3 linked regions of the Styela clava genome follow. The protein of the gene in region 1 purifies or fractionates together with the protein of each later gene. This does not show direct contact. Links are inferred from orthologs where the notes say so. Each region holds a gene or a part of one and is shown on either strand. Other genes may lie near its edges. The genes, in order: derlin-2-like, selenoprotein S-like and FAS-associated factor 2-like.

Evidence for each region.
Region 2: the proteins of derlin-2-like (region 1) and selenoprotein S-like purify together in Homo sapiens (affinity purification with western blotting; 3 studies listed by BioGRID and IntAct, with this or other methods). This does not show direct contact. The link is inferred for Styela clava from reciprocal best matches to the Homo sapiens genes DERL2 and SELENOS.
Region 3: the proteins of derlin-2-like (region 1) and FAS-associated factor 2-like purify together in Homo sapiens (affinity purification with mass spectrometry; 5 studies listed by BioGRID and IntAct, counting the BioPlex papers as one, with this or other methods). This does not show direct contact. The link is inferred for Styela clava from reciprocal best matches to the Homo sapiens genes DERL2 and FAF2.

What each region holds. Positions count from the first base shown.
Region 1 is NC_135264.1:18,503,272-18,507,031, reverse strand, and holds the start of derlin-2-like, read right to left. Parts: upstream 2,865-3,760; 5' UTR 2,715-2,864; coding exon 2,622-2,714; intron 1,818-2,621; coding exon 1,678-1,817; intron 549-1,677; coding exon 455-548; intron 143-454; coding exon 20-142; intron 1-19.
Region 2 is NC_135253.1:20,577,847-20,581,606, reverse strand, and holds the start of selenoprotein S-like, read right to left. Parts: upstream 2,619-3,760; 5' UTR 2,259-2,618; coding exon 2,147-2,258; intron 1,700-2,146; coding exon 1,562-1,699; intron 831-1,561; coding exon 724-830; intron 1-723. UniProt on the Homo sapiens protein: Involved in the degradation process of misfolded endoplasmic reticulum (ER) luminal proteins. Participates in the transfer of misfolded proteins from the ER to the cytosol, where they are destroyed by the proteasome in a ubiquitin-dependent manner.
Region 3 is NC_135256.1:23,649,766-23,653,525, reverse strand, and holds the start of FAS-associated factor 2-like, read right to left. Parts: upstream 2,305-3,760; 5' UTR 2,159-2,304; coding exon 2,063-2,158; intron 929-2,062; coding exon 809-928; intron 705-808; coding exon 487-704; intron 5-486; coding exon 1-4. UniProt on the Homo sapiens protein: Plays an important role in endoplasmic reticulum-associated degradation (ERAD) that mediates ubiquitin-dependent degradation of misfolded endoplasmic reticulum proteins.

The sequences.
Region 1 (3,760 bases):
TCTGTATGAAGCAACTCACCCTGAAAGTTAGGATCCCAAAGAAACTCATCCTAACATAAGGATTCCTCCGACTCCAGACATAAACCAACATTATTGTGAAAGCTTGACCAAGGAATACGAGGCTTGCAAAACATGCAATTATCTGGATGTTACATAAACAGTTAAGGATATGATAGAGCCATCTCATTCGTTTTCATTCGTTTCCATTCGTTTTCCTCCTCAAATAGACATGAAAATCATTTAGCTTCCTCCTATTATTTTATGCTCCATTTTTAGTAATAAAAAGCCACCAACAACTAAAAGTAAAAGAATTAATGCACCACGGATAAAGAATTGAACAAATCATGATCAATTTACTTTAAAGGCGGACAATGGCGGATAGTAGTTAGTGAAGCCTTCGCTCATGGTCCCGGGGATCGGTTCGCCAAACCAAACTAGATTTTTAAAAGGATACTGTCATAATAGATCCGCCCAGAATAAACATGAAAACAAAATCCCCGGTTTTTCCACGAAATGATCCTTCTTCCAACATCCTGCAATACCTGTATCTGGATAGTTAGAATGTTGTTGGTTAAGGAAAAGGTTCATCTGTGTGGATTCTTATGCCAAGTTGTTTTGTTGTACAACATCCATTAAGAAATATTTACTGGCCATGTTGGAAAGAAGAACTGAAGAGATTGTTATTGCAGTATCCTTATACCTACACATGGACTACCTCACAATTAGGCTGTTTGTAACCATAGGTCAGTCATATTTTCGGGTAATGCGCCACCATGATTCTATAGTTTGGGGGGTTCTTTGTATTTCAGTAATTGACATAACTTTGCTCAGAGACAAGTCGCAGTACCCACTCATGGTGTAATAAATTGCATAGACAATGCAAAACCAAGAATATTATGGCAATCCTGAAATTAGCAACTTCGTACATACAGTAGGATATCAGTCGTTGCTTATTTAGAGCAGGGGTGTGCAAAGTGCGACCCGCGGGCCAAATGCGGCCCGCAAGGGAAAATTGTGAGGCCCGCGGAGGCAACTGAATAGCAGTTTGAAAAATTTTAATATTAAAAGATAAAAAAGCTAAATGAGTTTTGGTTCCAGCCTATCAGTTGATGTTGTCTAAATCAAATCTAGAATAAGATTTGACAGCAAATTATTTGGAAATGAAATTTGGCGCATTTTACTGAAAACTTCTCAATCAAGTTACTTCCCACATTTGAAAAAGTCATGGCTTCGAATATGGCACTTTTCGGTAATATATTTTTGTTCTAAAATGGGCGTCGCATCGAATTGCTATCACTTCCTTAAGCAAATTTGGATAAAAGTAGTTGGGAGAAGAATCCAGCAGCAAATTTCTCACTGAATTCGTTTAAATTGGGTGCAACAATATATGTCTTTAAATTACAGTTCTAAGAACTTAACTCATTATTTCTGTAAGGACCAAGAGATCAATAACAAAAAGACACCATTTTGTGCCTGCAACTAATAGAAAGCCTGTGTGAAATGTAGGTGCGGCCCGCGGTTCGACCCGGTTATTGATATTTGGCCCGCCTTCGAAAAAGGTTGCACACCCCTGATTCAGAGCATTGTTCAGAGCAAAAGAAGTGAACAAGCATAAATAAAAAAAATATCAAAAAAACTTAACTTTACAAAACAAAAAACTCTCTTCACAAAGGATACAAAAATATCATATTAAATAAAAAATTAAATCCAAAAGTTCCGAAGAAAACAAAATTAGTGATGAGACGCCATAGTTGGTAACGTTGAAATATCAGATCAGGATTGAAATAGATTTGAAATGGTGAGATCACTTCAAGTTGCTGAAAAAAGAAAAGAATGTATTTTCAAAAAAATTAATAGGTAACAAACAGATAAATATTTACAATGACCGATAGCTTTTTTAAAACTACAAATGCTTGGGTGACCACACTCCCCATAAATACTAACGTTAAATTTTTTTTCATGTGACATTACGTTTCAGTGTGGGATGGGTCCTAATTGACCGAAGTGAGTTCAGTTGATTGTACAACAGACACTCTAAATACTGTACAGTACATTTGCATAGAAAGTTTTAAATTGGTTGGAATGGTGTGTCATTTAAATAATTTAGATAAGACTATTAAAAGAATTTTCATCGAGAATATATAATTTTATTTTCATCGTGCATGAAGCGTTGTACTATTAATTGGAAGGAAGCAATTGAAAAAAAATATGCCATACAATATTTTAACCGTAATTGCCGAAGGGAAAACAAGAAAGACTATCAAGCTATCGTGTTAGTAAACATAATGGGTGAGAAAAGCAGCAGAAGATGTCGGATGATATAACTAGTTGTTCTACAGCAGGAAATGTTGAATAATTACAATTTGAAAAATATAACTTAAACCAAGAGAGAAATAATAAAAATTTGTATCAAGAAAATCAATCAGAAAAAAAAACTGATCAAATAGGTCAGTTTAGACCAGGTGGGCAAGGTTATTGCACCATGGGCCAAAACTTATATGACCTATACCCAATTACAGACAATATTTACAGTGATGCCAAAACAAATGCAAAAAAATAAGCCTCGTGCTAAAACTGAGTTTATTCGCAATGCAATCTCAACAAATTCCTTGAGTGCTCACCACTGCTAATGTTGTGACAACGCATGCTGTCGTATAAGCTCTCGTCACCGGTGGAATCTGCATGTACTCCTGCTGAAAAGTTTGGTACGCCATCTTGAATTGGCGGCTTCAGTAAAGTATTTTCAATAACGTGAATTGTGAGGTATATTCGAGTTATATTTGAAAAGTTTTCGATATTTACAGATACCAGGTTTAAGGCTATATATTATACTGAAGTATTATCCAATCTCAGCATTTACTATAGATTCTGTAAAGGTAAATTATATCAATTATTATCTATATCTCTCTCTATATATATATATATATATGATAGAATTTACATATTTATCCCGGGGGAAAGTCGATAAGATGCCTTAATCATATCTGCATATGGCAAATTACAACTTCTGACTGTTTGGGTCGGTTACTCTCTCAGAGAGAGTGTCAGATGTCAGGATGTGTCTCAGATGCATGGACTTGGAAGACTTGATTGTGGAATAAGGATAGGATATGATTTACATATTTATCCCGGGGGGGAGAGAAAAAGGGGAACAAATTGTGACGTGTTTTGTAAGATTCATTGTAAAACCATATCATTTTAGCGACCCATACCTAATATACATTCTCTCACACTGGGACATGGACGAGCCATAAACTAACTGACTACCGGTATATTGTACATATCGTCGTTGTGTCGTATCTCCTTGTCTTGTGTATTTTACTAGAGTTTTATTTCTATAACCTATTTCATGTCTGTTGTCCTATTATAAAGTAGTAGTCCTAAAATGCTGTTATAATTGTTAGTAGGTGTGCATGTCGCACATCTGTGTCTTAGGCCAGTAAGGTCTTCAGGTCTTGAACATGTATCCGTCTCTGTTTTACTGTTTAATTATTATGCAGATACTGTTATATTTTGGAGGCATATAAACATACATACATGTTCTAAAACGTCCTAGGAATCTAAATTCTAAACCATCGGAAAACCTACGGTACCAAAAACTTATAAACTAGCCAACAACCGAGCAGGAACCACAACTGAGCGACACGTCGGACCTTTGCCAGCGAAATAAATGACGTCATAACCACTCACTCGTGCAAACCCGTATCAAACTTGATGCAGATTAAAAATAATCCTCCCCCGCGGTTCAAAAAATATAACA
Region 2 (3,760 bases), on another chromosome or scaffold:
CTTAATCATGGCCTCTCAATACACAAAATACACTGGTGAATGCAATTTTGAGTTGTCTCAAGCAATGGGAAGTAGCAACGGAGAAGAAAACCTATTATGTTGACTTAATCATGGACTACTAAGGCCTCTCAATCAAGGAAAAAGATAAATAAATGCCAAATAAAATAAATCGAGTTTTTTCGAGCAATGGGCAGCAGTTTATTTCAAAACTCCAAAATGTTTACAAATTAAAAAGAAAGGATTCTGAAAAGAAGTCTGTTAAATCCCCATACAGGGAGGTCTCGGGTTACGACATTCGCGACTTACGCTGTTTCGAGGTTGCGAATGCGCACTCCATAATGCTGTTCCGAGGTTACAAACCATGCCATTAAAAATATAAAAAATGATACTGTACTGTACAGTATTTGCTTTTATTCATGGGATATGAAATTGTTTTCTGTATTTTTTAATAAAGCACTTTTCTGCATTATTTGTACATTTAATTACAGTACCATGCTTTACAATACAGTACGATATGTGTAGAGTAATTTATGCAATGTACAGTATAATGTTCAGACTTACACTGAAATTGGGGTTACACCGCGTCTCGAGAACGGAACAACATCGTAAGTCGTGGACTCCCTGTACTTAGAAATTGCTACTAATTCAAGCATAATTATTTGACTGGCAATATGAATCGATCATCAATATTATACTAAGGAATGAACAATAAAATTTATCCACCTCTTGCCTTCTCTCTGCCTCCCTTCTTAGAATTGCAGATGCTTTTTCCTGCATTCTTTGTCTGGCAAGTTCCATTGCTTCAGCTCTTTTAGCCAGAACTTCAGGATCTAAGTAGCAAAAAAATATTTGAAATAATTGAAGAATATAGTTTTTAATAGGGAGCTACACAACCTTCTTTGAAATATTCTATAGTCTCCATGCATGATTGTGAAATCTTTATAATATTCGGGTTTCTCAAGTAAAAAAAGGCGTCACCATAGGTCAATCGGCACAATGCATCTCAAATATAGTATCAGTAGCTACTCGTATCTCGATGGCCGCCTGTAACTTGTCTAATATGTTGTGTTTCTTTCACATTTGAGTGAGTTTGAGTGACCTCAATTAAAGAAATTTCTCTTGTAATATTCTATATCAGCGCTTCTCTGACTGCGTTCTGAGAGCTTCTTCGAAGCGTTCCGTGGAACAGGAATCGAAATTGCGACTTAATTGGTCGTCATGCCAAACTCGGTTTCATTTCGGCAACTCTGGATAGTAAATTTGCCTCCAAAAAGGCGGAAAGGGCCCTGCTATCTAAAAAGGCAGATAGGCCTAGCGCCAGTCTAAAAATCATGGAGTTTTCATTAACCATTCAATATGGTTGACTTTCTAAGAGTCAAATTAACAGCAAACATTTTAATTTCAACATAGAATAAATTATTTGAAAACTATCCATTAATTTTATTTTCTAATTTCTTGGCGTTCCGCGAGGCAAGATAAAATACGCTCCGGGGCCAAAAAAGTTTGAAAAACGCTGTTCTATATTATACAAGATCATTTTTAATATTGCAAGTCGACTTACCATTTTCCACGGGATCATTTCGTTCTTTTGCTCTTTCAATCATTTTCTTGACTTTTTTCTCAATGTTACTCCATAATATTATAAGTAGAACAGCAATTACCATGAGAGTCCATCCATATGTGGCAAGAAATGATGTTACTAAATACAAAAAGTGAAAATTATTATTTTCAAAATGATGGTACAAATTTATAAGAGGTGTTCAACACTGCTACCTCTTTAAACTATTAAAAGATTTGCCGTATTACAAACGTTTTTTGATGATGCAAATCCATGTTTTGCATATTTTGCCCAAAATATGGGGTACCAGAAATCGTCTCAGCCCTGATATAAGTGGATCAAAACTACCAACCAAGAATTATGAGACTTGTGAAAAATATGCAATAAGTCCACCTCCAAAAAATATAATTTTTGATCCATGCATTGAAAACCGTTCGACAAGGTTTCTTCTAAGTCAGACTGCTGTTTGGAATTAATTTTCATATCTGAGCAATCCACGTATAATTTAATAACTTCTTTACCTACGTTATCATACTATCATGTGGCTTTGAAGCCAACAAAATCATACTGCAACATCACATTACTCACCTGCATAGTAAGAAGCCATCATCACATTGGGATTAATATTTTTCAGATCAATTTGTTCCTCCACAAATTCATCTTCTACTTCCACAGTTGCATCCTCCACCTCAGCGGCCATTCTTAGGCCAAAAATTAATATTTATACAATATATAATTCAACTGAAAATCAAATTACACAAAATATTCAGTCAATTCATTACTAAAATCCTTCCTTAATCAAATCAGCAAAAATAATAACAATAATGATATAAGTTCAATCATGCTCATCTGGGCATCATTTTTAGGACTAAGAAAAGATTTATGCACTACATTGCGAAACAAACTAAAATTCAAATTTACACATATTACTTATTTCAACATAAAACAGTTCTAAACCAACATAAAATAAAGACAAAGTTCCATCATGCACATCACAAATCCAAAACAAGATATCCAGTACAGAGAGCGTTCATAAAGTCCGCTCATAATTTAAATAAACGGGGCTCCCGAAGTATGCGAACCAAGATGGCGGACATCGGAATGTAATATGAGTACTATGTTAGGGTTAGGCCATAATTTTAGGTATAAATACTACGGGAGGCTCTTGGCTAGTCTTCAAACTGATAATAGGACTAAAATAAGGAAAATTGGAAAAAAATTATCGCTTAACCCTAACCTGTTACCCATGTTACGTTCCGATGTCCGCCATCTTGGTTCGCATACTTCGGGAGCACCAAATAAACAAATCATATGATATCGAAAAATTCCGTTTGCATTCGAAAAAAAAATTTAGTCTTCATGAACGTACATTTTTATTTAAGGCAACAAATCTTATCTAAAATATATCCCACAAAATTGACAATATAGTTGTATAAGCTAGTTAATCTTGCATATCGAAAAAAACTCTGAATGTGGTCGTTAAAAAACTTTGCAGCGATGCAAGCAGTTTTATCACACATTTAATGACACATACATCCTGTCCCACAGAAATTGATTCATAAACATAAAACAAATTAACAATTGTTTTAAATTTAGAATATCGAAAAGGCACGCATTGACATAAATTGGTCGAAAAAAAGAAATATCAGAAAATATATTGTAATAGGAATATAATTACTAATATTTCAATTAATAACTTTTTCCAAATAAAGTATTAAGCTATCAAGAACATCAGTCTTTTTTCGATTTCATGAAACATATAATCTGCAAAGAAAAAAATGCACATACAAACGGTCTAATGCCACCAAGACAGAATTGTAAAACAAACGCAACGATGTGTGAGCAGAATAAGCAGCATTGCCAAGTCCAATTCGACTGTTCAGAATTATACTAAACAAGAAACGTACATTAGCGCATTAATAACAACAGTTTAACGCTCTGATTCTAATATTGTCTTACAACACTCTTATCCAATAGTGCTTCAAAAATGATAAGCAATAAATCTCCAATTAAAAAATGCCAATCAATCACCAGCAAACTCGACCAAATAAGGTATCAATTTAGTGCACCATCATCCTTAAAAAATTTGCTGTTAATTTTTCAATCTTTTTTACATCGTTAGCATGTTCTGTTTCATACTGCAGTCTTATTTGATCGTCTGTTACTGTGATCACAAGATTTCCGTTGCAGTGTCTGTATTTT
Region 3 (3,760 bases), on another chromosome or scaffold:
AAACCTGTGGTAAACAGTCAGGAGACACATGAAATATAAAGCGTAAAATTAATAAAAATTCAATAGTTATCAAATTTAAAAAAAGGATCATTATAGGGTTCTAGTTTTATTTGCCATTGTTTATTAACAAGCATTTCTTCATTCCATTTACATTTCAGGTGTTTCAAAGTTATTTTGAAATTAATAGGCCAAATGGAAGTCCAACTACATTTTTGGTGGTGAGAAATATTTTGAAGGTGTTTAGAACTGAAAGAATTGATTTCCCCTTGACAGCTATTATTCTGTTGAATAGTCTTACACACAAGGTTGCTTACAATGACATCTAAAATCAATCTTACATGACTTGTTATAGCTAAGGACTTTGGATCTCATGAATTTGAAATGCGATCGGCCTGATAAATTTTACTGTGTAATCAATTTAACAGGTAATATTCAAAAGGCTTTACACTGATAGTACTTCAGTGCAGAATTATTATGCAGAAATACCTCACAATTCCAAATAACGTTGACCATGTAAATCGGAATGGCATTGATAAAACATAATATCCCCATTCAAATATTCCTTGAGGTTGCCTCAATTGTAATCCTCTTGCTTCATACAATGTCGTATGAGAATTAGTTCTTAATGGAAGTGGTGGAGATATGGTGGCAACATTTCTTCGTCTTAAACCAGAATTTGCAGATATCGATGGTGGTAGATTTGACTAAAGAAATAAAACAGTGTTTACCAATGTTTTGAAAGGCGTAGCCAATTAATCATGTGTAATCTAAAAGATAATTATTAAAGAGGGACTTCCCACAATACAACCTGTTGAGAATTAGACATTCCTGCCTCAAGAAATGTTGACTGGACTGCACTTTCAACATTCCAATCATGTTGCCTCAAAATAGTTTTACATCTATTCAGATCGTCTATGTTGGTGATTTCCTGAAAGACGTTTTAAATACGATTTTAATATTATGACAGATTTTGGGTGAGAAATTGGTTAGGTAAAAATAGTTTGATTTGCTATAATTGCACTCAAACATGGGCATGTTAAAGTACAAAATTGGGTCTACACCTTCATTATATTACGTAAATTAGGTCAGTAGGTGAAAAACTGCTATTTATGCAGTAAAGTTCTTGCCTTAGAAACTACACAGATCATAATATCAGTGAGGTTATTATCAACACAGTCAGACGGGAAAGTAACATAACAATTCTAACGTCAAGAGAAATTAAGATCAAAAGACACAGGCAAAAATCCTATCAAAGTACTGTAATACAGAGCAATACAGCAATAGGGTCTCGCGATGTACCGTAAACGCTGTAAATCTGTAAATGTTTAAATAACGCCAAACACAAATGTGATGTAAAAATACAACCCAAATTTTCATTTTTTCCCAAACAATAATCCGATACGCTACTATAAGTATAAGTTTATTTTGACTCCATAATCAGCAATAGGCAATAGAAAAAAACAAAATAAATAAAACTGATTATAGGGTCGGGAAAGCAAACGAAACCTCAAGCAAGGTTTAAAGCGTACATATTTTGGGTGGGGAGGTATTGATAGAAGAAGTAGTACGTGTTCGCTCACCCTGTCACCTAAGAGTAGTAAACTAATTAACGCATGCATACAACGCATATACACACAAACATACAATCATCGAGACATGACAAGGTTGGGAGTGAAAAAAGCGAGACATAAAATCAATTACTCAGTACTGCAGTAAGAAGAAGAATATACAAACAAATAAAAAGAATAAATTCTTTTGCCACACCAAATTAATAATTTTATGAGTATTGTCGAATTCAGGAATTGGATACCAAATTAGTCAAAACAGCAAAAGGAGTTATGTACTGTGGATAGAAAAAATATTCCTGAAAAGATATCGTCAAGCAGATTATAATTGGAGTCACCTAATGGCAAATTGCCCAAACAGAATTGCCAAGTTGGATGCATGAAGAGGTGGGCTAGGCCTGCTTCACTCACCAGATGTATTCATAGATTAAGTTATTGTAGAATGTGAATTCATATAATTCAGTAACTGCATAGCCTATAATGATAGCAAAGCTAACCTGAAAATGAATCAGTTTTTCTGTTAATTCCTGATTCAAGTTTTCTTCATCTTCACCCCTATCATTTTCTATTACTTGCTCGTTATTGTCCGCCATACAATAATACACAGCCCTATTAGATATTTATTTCGCACCGGTACCAATCCAATCCTAGTCTAAATACTATTCAGTCCCATATATTTTCAGAAAAGAAATAATAAACTTGGCGTTCTGGTATTATAGTACTGGTACATGTACTTCTGCTGCAAGCGGTGGCTAGGTGTCGTATTTAGAAGGTTTTACCTGACTACATTTTTACGCGAATGCATATTGCAAGAATGTAGGCGCACGGAAAGTTCGGGTTCTTTTAGATCGTGGGCCTAAATCTTTTGGGATCCTGTCAAACGATTTCCAATTTACAAAATATACAGAGTTGACATCTCCAAAGTAGAGCATTTCGTCACAATTGATGATGACTTCAGAGGCGCGTATTTTGGTGGACGGGCGCGTATTTTCACGTTTTTAACTTTTCTTTAAGTTATGCCCGTCCTCCAGGTCCTATGTGTTTGTTCGTTTGTTTTTGTTTCGTTTTATACCAGAGCGACCGAAATAAAATTGATTGATTGATTGATTGATTGAGCAGGGTTGTCCAAAACGAATCGAATATTCGACTATCAAAGTATTTGAATACTTTATCTGTTTATCAGCTAATTTTAGAATAATTCCGAATAATAGCCACGATTTTTTTTACTTTGTCACGTATTTTACTGACGATGAAATAAAATCGGCATAAGATAAGATTTACCTGTTCATCCCGAAAGAGCGGGAAGCCGATAAGATGGGTTAATCATATGGAGAACCACGGTCTCTAGTCCGGTTACCAATCCGTGTCCGGTGTGGGATTAGTTAGTCAGTTATTGGACACGTTTAGTGGCCATAACGATCGTTTCAAAATTTTGTTGTTATTGTTATTTGTCTCCGTCTCCATTTTTAAAAAATCGCTTTTCTCTTCGAATACTGGACCAATTGCTTTGATATTTTCAGTGGTTAAAGATAAAATTTTTCTCCAGAAGGTTATCACTTTTTTTTCTCGCTATGACGTCATCAAAATCATTGCCACTGGGTGGCGCTACGTGTCCATATATTTGAGCATAGCTCTCTTGTTTGTTTTCAGAAGCATGAACATTGGGCATTGCCGCCATTCTCTTGCGCAGCTTCTAATTTAAGCTTTCATTTTCATTACGTCGAAAAATTAAAACTTATGTAACGCCGTATTTAATAACCAAATGTACTTACTTCTAGAAAGCCGCCAACAAGGCGTTTACTCCAGCCATTCCCGCGGCACAATATCAGTCCTGTACTTCGCGAACGAAAGTGAAATCAAAATTTAATAACATATATTGTGTACTTTCAAATGTAGAGTAGCTATAAGACACAATTTAATGAATTTCTTGAAAACGAGAGGTCAAATTAATGGGGAGTAATATTGAACACGGTGGTGGTTCACGCGTGAAATATTAGAAAATATAATTTATACTTTTTCCCCGCTTTTCGGCAAATAATTTTGATAAAAATAGGTAAAAGAATCAATTTTTACTAGGATGATTTTCTGTTACGCAAAATATTCCAATCCATGACCGATAGGCCTACTGCTAGCATTTAAAATGCTTCGTCGTATTAGTTTAATTATAATAAATATATGTTATGCTAAATATACTC